Linked DNA regions of Danio rerio. The protein of the gene in region 1 purifies or fractionates together with the protein of each later gene. This does not show direct contact. Links are inferred from orthologs where the notes say so. Each region holds a gene or a part of one and is shown in the gene's direction. Other genes may lie near its edges.

What was found.
Region 2: the proteins of pex5 (region 1) and pecr purify together in Homo sapiens (affinity purification with mass spectrometry; 3 studies listed by BioGRID, with this or other methods). This does not show direct contact. The link is inferred for Danio rerio from reciprocal best matches to the Homo sapiens genes PEX5 and PECR.
Region 3: the proteins of pex5 (region 1) and acox1 purify together in Homo sapiens (affinity purification with mass spectrometry; 3 studies listed by BioGRID, with this or other methods). This does not show direct contact. The link is inferred for Danio rerio from reciprocal best matches to the Homo sapiens genes PEX5 and ACOX1.

The regions. Positions count from the first base shown.
Region 1 is NC_133191.1:12,426,880-12,430,537, reverse strand, and holds part of pex5 (peroxisomal biogenesis factor 5), read left to right. Parts: intron 1-11; coding exon 12-95; intron 96-1,462; coding exon 1,463-1,582; intron 1,583-2,309; coding exon 2,310-2,453; intron 2,454-2,585; coding exon 2,586-2,656; intron 2,657-3,658.
Region 2 is NC_133186.1:32,594,490-32,598,105, reverse strand, and holds part of pecr (peroxisomal trans-2-enoyl-CoA reductase), read left to right. Parts: intron 1-722; coding exon 723-888; coding exon of another isoform or gene 889-901; intron 902-2,844; coding exon 2,845-2,926; intron 2,927-3,069; coding exon 3,070-3,166; intron 3,167-3,616. UniProt on the Homo sapiens protein: Participates in chain elongation of fatty acids. Catalyzes the reduction of trans-2-enoyl-CoAs of varying chain lengths from 6:1 to 16:1, having maximum activity with 10:1 CoA. Has no 2,4-dienoyl-CoA reductase activity.
Region 3 is NC_133181.1:21,492,797-21,497,167, forward strand, and holds the start of acox1 (peroxisomal acyl-coenzyme A oxidase 1), read left to right. Parts: upstream 1-1,415; 5' UTR 1,416-1,544; coding exon 1,545-1,653; intron 1,654-2,023; coding exon 2,024-2,183; intron 2,184-2,906; coding exon of another isoform or gene 2,907-3,067; exon of another isoform or gene 3,068-4,252; coding exon 4,253-4,371. UniProt on the Homo sapiens protein: Involved in the initial and rate-limiting step of peroxisomal beta-oxidation of straight-chain saturated and unsaturated very-long-chain fatty acids.

The DNA.
Region 1 (3,658 bases):
GTGCTTGGTAGGTTTCGGCAGAATCGGCGGAGTCTTGGGTCGATGAATTCGCCACCTACGGGCCAGACTTCCAGCAGGCCAAAGCAGCGGTCGAGGTGAGCACAGTTTAGGCTGTAAATACTTGAGGAATTGTATTTGATTGCTGTCATTATAGGGAAAACAAGATATTCTGAAACATGTGGGAAACAAGCAGTTATTGGAAATTTTGAAACAAAAATGACTGTGGAAATCAATGGCTGGTTTGTTATACACCTTCTTCAGAAAATCTTCCAGAGAGAGAGAGAGAACAATTGGAGGGTTGATGGCATTACTTTTATTTTTGAGTGAACTGTCGCTTTAAGTGTTATTTTGGGGTATTTGGGCTTTTTTGTGTAGTAATTACACATTTCTGGAGTCTGAATTGTTACTTCTTACAGTTTTATTTAAACTAAACTAAGTACTAGTTGTATATGAGCAGTTTCAGTGTTATGAATGTGAGATCTGCAGTAAAATCTTAGTAGGGCTGAACAATATATTGATTAAGTATTGATATCACAATGTGTTTCTGCAGTAGTCACATTGCACGATTATGTTATTTATTAAAGAGTAAAAGATAGACATTAAACATTATTTTTGGTTATTATTTATACAATCATAGCCATGTTATTTTACACATGATTGTTCATTTTCTGCACTTGAAGGGCTCTATTTTGACGATCCATGCGCAAAGTGCAGGGCACAAACACATTAAGGGCGTGTCAGAATCCACTTTTGCTAATATAAAGACGACAAAATCCGCTTTGCGCCATGGCGCATAGTCTAAAAGGGTTGAGCTTATTTTCTTAATGAGTTATAGGTGTATTTTGAGAATAAACCAATCAGAGTCTCATCTCCCATTCCCTTTAAAAGTCAGTTGCGTCGAGCCATCGCAAAATTGCTATTTACATGACAGACTTTGTAAGTGGAAAAACTGAGCGCTTCACTACCAAGAAAAAAGTTCAACAGAGCATCTACAGCGCGAGAATGAGAGATGAGCCACCTTATTATTTAGGCTTACTTTCACTTTCGCTTTAATCGATAGGGAAACCTTGTATGCACAGAAATCCATTAGCCTATAAATAATTAATTTTGTTTGCTCAGGTAACTGGAAGGGAAAAAAATTATCAGAACATCCCTAGAACAAGAAACTAAACTGAAATGTGGACAAAACAAAACACTTACCCAACACTAATTATTGTTATGGTCCTCAGCATCACACTGTCATTAATTGAGTAGATCAGAGCATGTGCATTCAGTCACATTTCTGCACAGCAAACCTGTCAAATTTTTATTGACGAAATGAACACGGCTGCAAAATATAAACTTTTTAGCAATTTTCATTTTCTTAAAACCTGTCACCCTAAAGTCTGTAGATTAGATTAAGATTGTTTTGTTTTGGCTTTAACTCATTGGTCTGTGTGTATGTATGTGTGTTTTTATACAGAGCGATGTTGATTTCTGGGAGAAGCTCCAACAGGAGTGGGAGGAAATGGCCAAGAGGGATGCTGAAGCTCACCCCTGGCTCTCAGACTTCGACCAGATGCTCAGCAGCTCTTACGACAAGGTATCTGGACAGTGTACATCTGTGCCCGTTTACAGCACAGAGAACTGGAAAATTTGAGCTCTTTTCCAGCCAGTAGTCTGTGCTTTGTTATGGTGCATGCATGTTAGTTTTGGTCTTTGTTTCTGCTTCGATTTTGAACAAATTTTCATTTGCAGAGCAAGAATATACAAAAATAAAACTATTACATTTTATGCATAAAATTCTTCCCTTTTTTTTTTTTTTTTTGCACAGAGAGGCTATTTAACTTTATTGTTTTACTATATTGTTCATATTCCAGATGTGTGTATTATTACTGCATTTATTAATTAAAATATTTTAAATATTATTTATAAAAATGTATATTAATTTACAATTATTACAATTTGAATTATTATTAATTTATTTTAATAAAAAACGTGATAATGTGCAATATTATAACAATTTAAAAATAACATTTAAGAAGTCTTTTTGCCATTTAACATACATAGACACTAGATCACATCATTATTTCATTAGGTGTACATTACATCTAAAAATTTGTATATCTATACAGCTGATTCCATTTTTATGACTGAAATCCATCATATTTGATAGATTAAATCCTAATTTATTGTGGAATTAAAACTTTTAGAGAATGGCCAAAAATTAAAGAGAAAAAATTTAAAGGAATAAATGAAATTGAAGACTAGTTTATGAATATTTGCTTTTAAATATTGCTTCCAAATGCCTGCTTTCTTACTTTTTTTAGGGATATCAGTTTGAGGAAGACAACCCCTACCTGTCCCATGAGGATCCGTTTGCAGAAGGGGTGAAGCGGATGGAGGCGGGAGACATTCCTGGAGCTGTGCGCCTTTTCGAGAGCGCCGTTCAGAGACAGCCAGACAACCAGCTGGTCAGAGACTCATACTTATAATCCTGACATCCAAAACTCATGGCACATTTTATCTCTGGGGATTCTGACAGTGCTCTGTTTCCTTCTATGTCTTTCTGAAACGCTGACTGTGCGTGTCTGACGATACTGCAGGCCTGGCAATATCTGGGCACCTGCCAGGCGGAGAACGAGCAGGAGTTTGCTGCGATCAGCGCCCTCCGGAGGTAGGAAATATATCTGCGTCCGAGTGCATCTGCTTTGGTTGGCTAGTGTCAGTTCATAGATTGCAGTCTGTCTCCTCTGTTATGTTTCCAAAATCACAAAACTTTTGAAATATTTTTGTTTTTAGAGACATTGAAAATGCATGGCGAACCATTTATTCATTCATTTTCTTTTCAGCTTAGTCCCTTTATTAATCTGGGGTCGCCACAGGGGAATGAACTGCAAACTTATCCAGCATATGTTTTATGCAGCGGATGCCCTTCCCAGCTGCAACCCATCTCTGGGAAACATCCATACACACTCATTCACACTCATACACTACAGACAATTTTAGCCTACTCAATTCACCTGTACTGCATTTTTGGGGAGATTCTTCTCATCCACCAACAGTGTGCAGCATCCACCTGGATGACGTGACTGCAGCCATATTGCACACCACACACCAGCTTGGTGGAGAGGAGAGTGATGAAGCTAATTATGGTATGGGGATGGTTAGGAGGCAATGATGGACTGAGGCCAGTGGGCAAATTTAGCCAGGATGCGGGCGTTAAACCCCTACTCTTATTCGAAGGACATCCTGGGATTTTTAACGACCACAGAGTCCCCATCAATATACTGGGGCGTTAGGACCCACACAAACTGCATGTAGAGCCCCCCCTGCTGGTCTCACTAACACCACTTTTGGCAACAGCCTTCTCATATGGTCTCCCATCTAGGAACTGACCATGTGAGAGTAGTGGTGACCGTTCGTTTGTTCGCCCGTTTGTTTGTTTGTTCGTTTATATTTCTATTTATTTTTATTTACTTCTTTGTATTTATTGTTGCAAGATTTTGATTGATATTTGGGTTGATCTTTGCAAACTTGTGATTAATAATATTTATTATGTCTTCATTACTGTTTTTTTTATAATTTGGAGATACTTTATATATCTCCAAATGATAAAAGGTATTTTTTTCATAATAACATTTCTGTTGTATGTTTTATTTGTGTGTTTTTATTATAA
Region 2 (3,616 bases), on another chromosome or scaffold:
TTTTTTTATTGCATAAAATAACAAAAATGTCATGGTTTTATTCTTTTTTTTTTTTTTTAGATAAAACAAGAGTTAAAAAAAATCTTATGTTTGGTGGGATAACAAATGACAACATTTTAACATTTTTATTTTGGCCAATTGTCACATTTTGAGTAATTAGAAATTACCTAAATGACAAGACTTTACCTTAAAATTTCTAAGAAATGTCATCAGACCTTTATAGTATAAACAAATCTCAGATCTCAAAACACAGAATCTGCAGACATCTTTTGCTATTTCTGCACAGAATGTTGTACAAAATGTGCAGATTTATGCTGAATGATTTCTAAGTGAGGGTATAGTAACCAAAAGCTTAACACATGTTAAGATAATAACTTTTGAAAATAATAACTTTTGGTAAACAAAGTGTCTCATATCTGCTAAAAGACAGAAATATTAATTTACAAACTATTTTCTACATAAACCACACACACGCATTTACATGTTATTCAGTATTATTACTGAAGTTATTATAAAAACTAAGTTAATATAAAATTTACATCCATCTACATGCGTAAATGATGAGTTGAATGGTGAGCTCAAAAATCTGCGGGTTTCAGTAAATCTTATCTAATAAATCTGACAAATCCAGAGAAGCTAAAAGTATCCAAGTGGTCATTTATTTCTGTAGCTCTGGGTTTGTAATTTATATGTGAGTAATATGTAGCTCTGGTTTCTGACAGGTGAAGAACCTGATGGCCTCTACACTAAAGCTTCACGGGAGAATCGACTTTTTGGTGAATAATGGAGGTGGCCAGTTTTCCAGTCCGGCAAACATGATGAGTGCAAAAGGCTGGAAGGCTGTGATCGACACCAACCTCAATGGAACGTTCTTATGCTGCAGAGAAGGTTCGGCATAAAGGTGAAACACAACACTAGGGGTGTGTGAAATCTATCCTTTGACATTAGCTTGACACTGAAAAAATCCTTTTGTCAGACTGTTTAGAAAGATTTAAAGGTCCTGTGAAATTAAAATAAAAAAATTTGGATGTTTGTTTCAGTCTGTTACTTTTTAAAGATATCTATTATCTAGTGTGCTACAAAACAGTGACAATTCGCATTTAGAAAATATAAAATGGATTTAAACACTCACATCTTACAAACATCCCAGCCTCTCTACCTTTTTCAGTTGAGATTATGTCAAACATTGAAGGAAAACTGGACATTTCGACACTGTGCACTCTCTTACAGACAATATTTTTCCACTCTTTTACAATATGACTGTTTTATTCATTCATTCATTGATTGTCTTTTCGGCTTAGTCCCTTTATTAATCTGGGGTCACCACAACGGAATGAACCGCCAACTTATCCAACAAGTTTTCACGCAGCGGATGCCCTTCCAGCCACAACCCATCTCTGGGAAACATCCACACACACATTCACACACAATCATACACTACGGACAATTTGGCCTACCCAGTTCACCTGTACCGCATGCCTTTGGACTGTGGGGGAAACCGGAGCTCCCAGAGGAAACCCACGCGAAGGCAGGGAGAACATGCAAACTCCACACAGAAACGGCAACTGAGCCGAGGTTCGAACCAGCGACCCAGCAACCTTCTTGCTGTGAGGCGACAGCACTACCTACTGCGCCACTGCCTCGCCCATGACTGCTTTAATATATCAATAATACTTGATATATTGATTAATGCAAAAAATTACAATACATTTAAATGACTATTTAGAATTGAAATTAATTTATTGATAACATATACAACGTGTTCCTTAATGGCTGTAGATAAATAAATATAAGAAAATAACGGGCAAGTTGGTACGACAACTGGTTAAAACCATTCCCGAGCACTGCATTTCGCATCTTATAGGTTCATTTATGCATTCAGCATGAATGCCCCCTAAATCTGCCCATGCAGTCAACATTTTGCAGTGAAATCAGGTCGCACGCCAGCAATTTTATGCACTCGCACAAATGCTCCCAAATATATTTTGAGGTTGCATAGATTGAATTTCGGGCTCATATGTGACCAAAGCAGCCGCAGTTTCGAGCCCAGCTTGACTAATACAATACAGTTAGATTGATCATATAGTACTTGCTAGGTAAGCAATAAATGTGATAAAAGTTCATTTAAACTTTTTCTCATATCATGATAAGTCACATCATATCCTGATAAATATATTTATATCAGGATATAGTACCTTTTCTGTAAATTCAATCAATTAAAAGTTTATATTTATTTACCACATGGAAAGCTATTTTCCTTTTACATTAAAATATATACTAAAAATGTTTATTATTTTTGTACTTTATTTAGAACTTCTTGACAAAAATATTAACAAAATGTTAATATTGATTTTTAAAACAAATTTTTAAAAGCAAACAAATATTGTTAAAATAAAATTTTAAATTTAAACTTTGTAATTTTAAGCTTGTGAATTTCATGTGAGGTCATTCACATAATAAAAAAGTATTACCGTAAACAATGTATTTTGCAACAGCAAAAAAAAACGAGTATAATTTGAAACCATAGACTTTTACTTCCTGTCCCCACAATATATATATATATATATATATATATATATATATATATATATATATATATATATATATATATATATATATATATATATATATATATATATATATATATCATCATATTCCAGAGCTCTAATTTGCTCAACTTCTATTATCCCAAAATCTGGGTAATCTCACACCCCTATGCTTGACATTTAGTTTAGCTCTCTGTTGTGTTATTATAATATGCGTTCTTATTTCTAACCCTCAAAAATAATGTTGACAACTCTTGTGTATAAATTCAAAGGCTATTTTTTTTCTGTTAACTGATAGCATATAATGCCTGGATGAAGGACCATGGAGGTGTAATCGTGAATATCATTGCTGACATGTGGAAAGGCTTTCCTGGAATGGCGTGAGTTGGCCTTTGCAAAAATAAAAGAAACGTATTGTGTTTTACATTTTATATATGGCTGGTTAAACATCTATTATATCACAATCAAACATTTCACTTTTATTCAAAGCTCAATTTAAACAGGTTTTTTTTATTAATGCCAGGCACACAGGAGCAGCTCGAGCAGCGGTGGACAACCTGACCAAGAGTTTGGCCATAGAGTGGGCTCACAGTGGGGTCCGCATAAACTCTGTGGCGCCGGTATGTGTTAGATTGGAAACCATTAAGCTATATTATATACATTAGGATAGACCTGTTTGATTAGAGACGTTGAAAAAGGCACGTCATAATTTTGCCAAGTCTGATCCATTCCTGGATTAACATCTGTGTTGACCCTAGAACATATTTTTTTGCTTGAAAATATAATCTATACCTATTCCTCACCCCTAAAACCCAACCATAATAACTCCCAAAATCAGAGGGGAATTATAGTTTGAAAACAATTACATAGAAGTGCATAAACCTAACTGTAAGCCTAAACCTAAAATAAAATGTAAATGTATCCCTTAATTCTGATTGGCTGATTGGAATGTTGTTCCAGAATCAACATAGATGTTAATCCAGGAACATGTCCTACTTGGTGAAATCAGCCTAAAAAAGGCTGCTGAATTCTGTTTGGATTCTGCATTTGTATATTGATTTGAATAAATC
Region 3 (4,371 bases), on another chromosome or scaffold:
TTGGAACTGAACCTACAACATACACAGGTCTGTAAATCATTTATGAAATTGTTCAATTTAAAAGACATTTCCAGGAAAAAAAAAAAAGATTACTTTGAAATGAGGACTATTAGTTTTATATGGACTGACTTATTCAGCCTTCACAAGTTTAGTTAATTTTGACTGACATGACATAAGTGAATGATAATGTTATAAACAGCAGAGAGTTGTATGAAAGCAATTATTGCATGTCCAGAAGCATTTGCAATCTGTTGGAAGGAATGAGAAACTGCTACTATAATGTGCACAAATGATGAATTGTTTTGAGAAATGCATTAACTGTTGTGCAAATGTAAATAGTGTTGTGAGAAATGCACCAAAGCCACTCAGAAAAACGGTAAATGCAGTGATGTCTAATTTTACTTTAGTTTTCAAATGGCTGTGCAAATAATATATATTGCTGTCTTGAGCATTTTCAGGAAGTGTCACCAAAATCTGACTCTTTTGCATTAGAAAAAATGTACAGAGTAAACTGTCATAATGAAAACAAAGCCATTTAACTACCTAATTGTATTGAGAAATGCATTAACTGTTGTGCAAATGTAAATAGTGTTGTGGCAAATGCACCAAAGCGACTGAAAAATCTGTTAATGTTGTGGCGGTGAGACTATGCAACAGAGGCCAAAATAATACATTTTGATCAACATGACATAAGCAATTGAAAATGTAGGAAACATCAGAGAACTGCATATAACCATTAGCAAAAATGTACAAAAGCATTTGCAACTTGTTCAAAGGAATGAGAAATTGCTTTTTTGATGTGCACAAGTGACACAATGATGTGAAGATTGAACAGGTAGTTTTGAAAAATTCGATTCTGATCTGAGAAATGAACTAAAACAACTGAGAAAAACTGTAATGGTGCAATGCACAGATATTGATGTTTCAGTTTTTTTACACTACATTATTTGAACCGACCAAGCATAGATTACAATGTTTGCTGTTTACATTGCTCTACTTGGATTAAATCTAAATTGTAAATACCAGAAATGACAACATTTGTTTACATTTAATTAATGTCAGTTTTAATGTTCCCTGGTTTGTCACAGTGTAATGAACCACCACTTATTTACCATCCACATTCCAAGAAACCCAACCACAAACACCTGATCTATATTCTGCTCTATTGCATGTATAGTGTTACTCGGACTTGGAATAATTTTATTGGTAACAACATTTATGAGAATAATAGATAGAATACTCCCACTTATCAGTCGAACCTTACTCAACACCGAATGCATGCTGTGTCAATTCAACCCTACATTCTCGGAATTTGTCATCTTAAACGAACCTACTGTTACAACAGTGGTTAAGCGCACCAATGCCACGCCCACTGAGTAATAAGCGCTTCTATTGGTCAACACACAATTGACGTCAAATGTTACCACCCTTCCAGGAAGTAACAAACCCAACTAAGCCAGAGTTGAAACGTTATATAACAAAAAAAGAAAAAAGGACACAAAGCAGAAGGCACGTAGCTCGAAAGAAAGTTTAACTGAATAGTCATGAATCCTGATATTAGCCGTGAACGTGAAAATGCGTCTTTTAACCTGGAGATTCTTACAAACGTGCTGGATGGTGGAGCGGAAAAGACAAATAGAAGGAGAGAAATAGGTCAGCTGCAAAAGTGTTTTAACGTTGCTATTTAATAACTTAAATAACCTATTTGATTGTAAACGTATTTTCCGGTCATTTGTGTGCATAGGTTAACCTATTGACATGATTAAGTTCAGGTATATGTATGTTAATTTAATGTATTTCTTTAGTAATATAATGTACCCTTGCAAATTTACAGTTTGTGGAGCTCTTAAAAATTAAACTGATAATATAAATATTTACCTTGAAGTCAGAGCGCCTTTTATATATATTGAATTAGTTGGCCCATTTCTGTACAAGATCAAGATATCAAGCTAAAAAGTAAAAAAAAAAAAAAAAAAAAAAAACACCCATCATCTGTTTTTTTGTTTTGTTTGTTTTTTTCTAGAGTCTCTGGTTATTGGAGATCCAGATTTCCAACATGAAGACCTAAACTTTCTCTCTCGAAGTGAGCGATATGATGCAGCAGTGCGGAAGAGTGCACAGATGATTCTGAAACTTAGGGAATATGGTATCTCTGATCCAGAAGAGATCTACTCCTACAAGACGTAAGCAAAATTGTCATGGTTAAAGAAACTTATAGTTATAGAAGTTATAGAATATGGATAGTTGAGAGAAGTTTAGAGGACAGAAAACACTGAGATAAGAATTAACTGAAAAAAATAAACATACACTACAGTTCTTTTTTTGAGGTCTTTGTATTATATTTAAAAAAAAAGTCAAATATAAAATAAATATAATACAAATATATGTTTTTTTTTTAATAGCAAATATCTTGGTGTTTGTGTTACCTTTGTCCCAACATCTCTACAATTAAATTACACCTCATGTATTGGTTAATGCAATGAATCACCAAAACAACACAATTTTTATGAAATTTTCAAAATCAGTGTTGTAAAATATGTTTGTGAGTTGCATATGAATGTTAGCTACAATTTGCAAGCAAAAGTTACAGTGTTTGCAGAGACAGCCAGGGCAAAGGTCTCAGATTAAAAGTGTGTCAAAGGGAAGTAAAATGTTTATCATCTCCACTCCTATTCTCAGATTAAATTAGCTGAAACAAATAAAACTGATACATTTTTGGTGATTCAGACATTCCTAAAAACTAAACTTTAAATACACATTTAGCATAATGAAAAGTATTAGGAGTACAGCTAATTGGGATTAAACATCTGGTTTCTATTAACATAAAAAGACTTTTTATAAAACCCTCTAAAGTACAATGTGTATCTTCATGTATGTTTACTACATTTGTCTGTTCCATTCTGCAGTGTTGTGAGGGGTGTATTTCAAGAGCCCCTAGGTGTCCATAATGTCATGTTCATACCCACCTTAAAAAGCCAGTGTACTGCTGAACAACGCAAAAAATGGATCCCCTTAGCTGAGTCATTCCATATGTTAGGCACCTATGCTCAGACAGAGCTGGGGCACGGTCAGTTCTTCTCTCCTGAACAATTATTTGAAATGTACTTTTAAATATTAGTAATAAGCAAAAAAGTATTGTCCTTTTTGGTTCAGAAATATACATTTGTATATTAAGGTGTCACTCTTGTAGGTGTTGACAGCTCAGTATGGTCATAGTCTCAGATTGATTTAGGGGTCTCTGCATTCAAGGTGATTCTCCATTTAATTCTGTATACATTAGAACACTTTTTAAAACCTGACCTTATCTGCATTCAAACATTAAATAGCTTTAGGTCTTTAACTGCTTCTTGATTATCTTAATAACTTGTGGTTTTGCAGTTTTGTGTTTGTCTTTTCATGAAGTCTTTAATTTTCCAGTTATCATTGATTGTGTTTTGTATTGTAAATGGAATCTACACATTTTCAAAACCCTAATAAGTGGAAATGTAGGACAGTGGGTTTGAAGGAAAGAAGCCGAAGCAGTAGGCACTGAGAGAATAATGGCATCATTGTGCAATCTTGTCATTAATGCAAGGGAGTAAATGTGTCAGTTATGGCTAACGGGTAATTTATCTGTCTTTCTCTCACAACATTTGATCAAGTGAACATTTAGAATTTTCAAATGTTAAGAATGAAAAGACGTAAATGTCCAGCACTATCTTAGTAGGTCCTAAATTTTTGGCCTCGCACTCTAAAACAAAAATGCTTTTTGGAGAATGGATACCTCTTTTTAATGTATGCCTCTACTGAAACAATCATAGAAAATCATATTCATACAATGAGTAAACACATTAATAATGTTTCTGTTGAGTAAATTCTTTGAGATTGATTATACTGTAATTGGCACATGTTTTATGCAGCTAATAAATTATTTCTATCTCTAATTTAGTCATTATATGCATGAACTTTTGTCATTCTCTGTTCCTCAAATTTAATCCCATCCATTCATTCATTCAATTTCTTTTCGGCTTAGTTCCTTTATTAATCTGGGGTCGCCACAGTGGAATGAACCGCCTAATCCCATCCATATAAATTTTATTAATACATACTCACAATCTTGATCAACTCATTCTGTCTATTCGTATTTAACACTCACTAATTTGTTCTTTCGGTATCTTTTTTCTGCTTTTCTTTTCCCCTCTCTATTTTTAATTACTTTTTTTTTTTTTTTTTTTTAAATATTCCGCTCACTTTGATTCCCGCCCTATTAAAGCTGTGTTCATCGAGGGCGTCCAGAGCCCCTTGACCTACACTTGGGGATGTTCCTGCCAACGCTATTGAACCAGTCTTCACCTGCACAACTTGAAACTTTCTTCATGCCTGCATGGAACT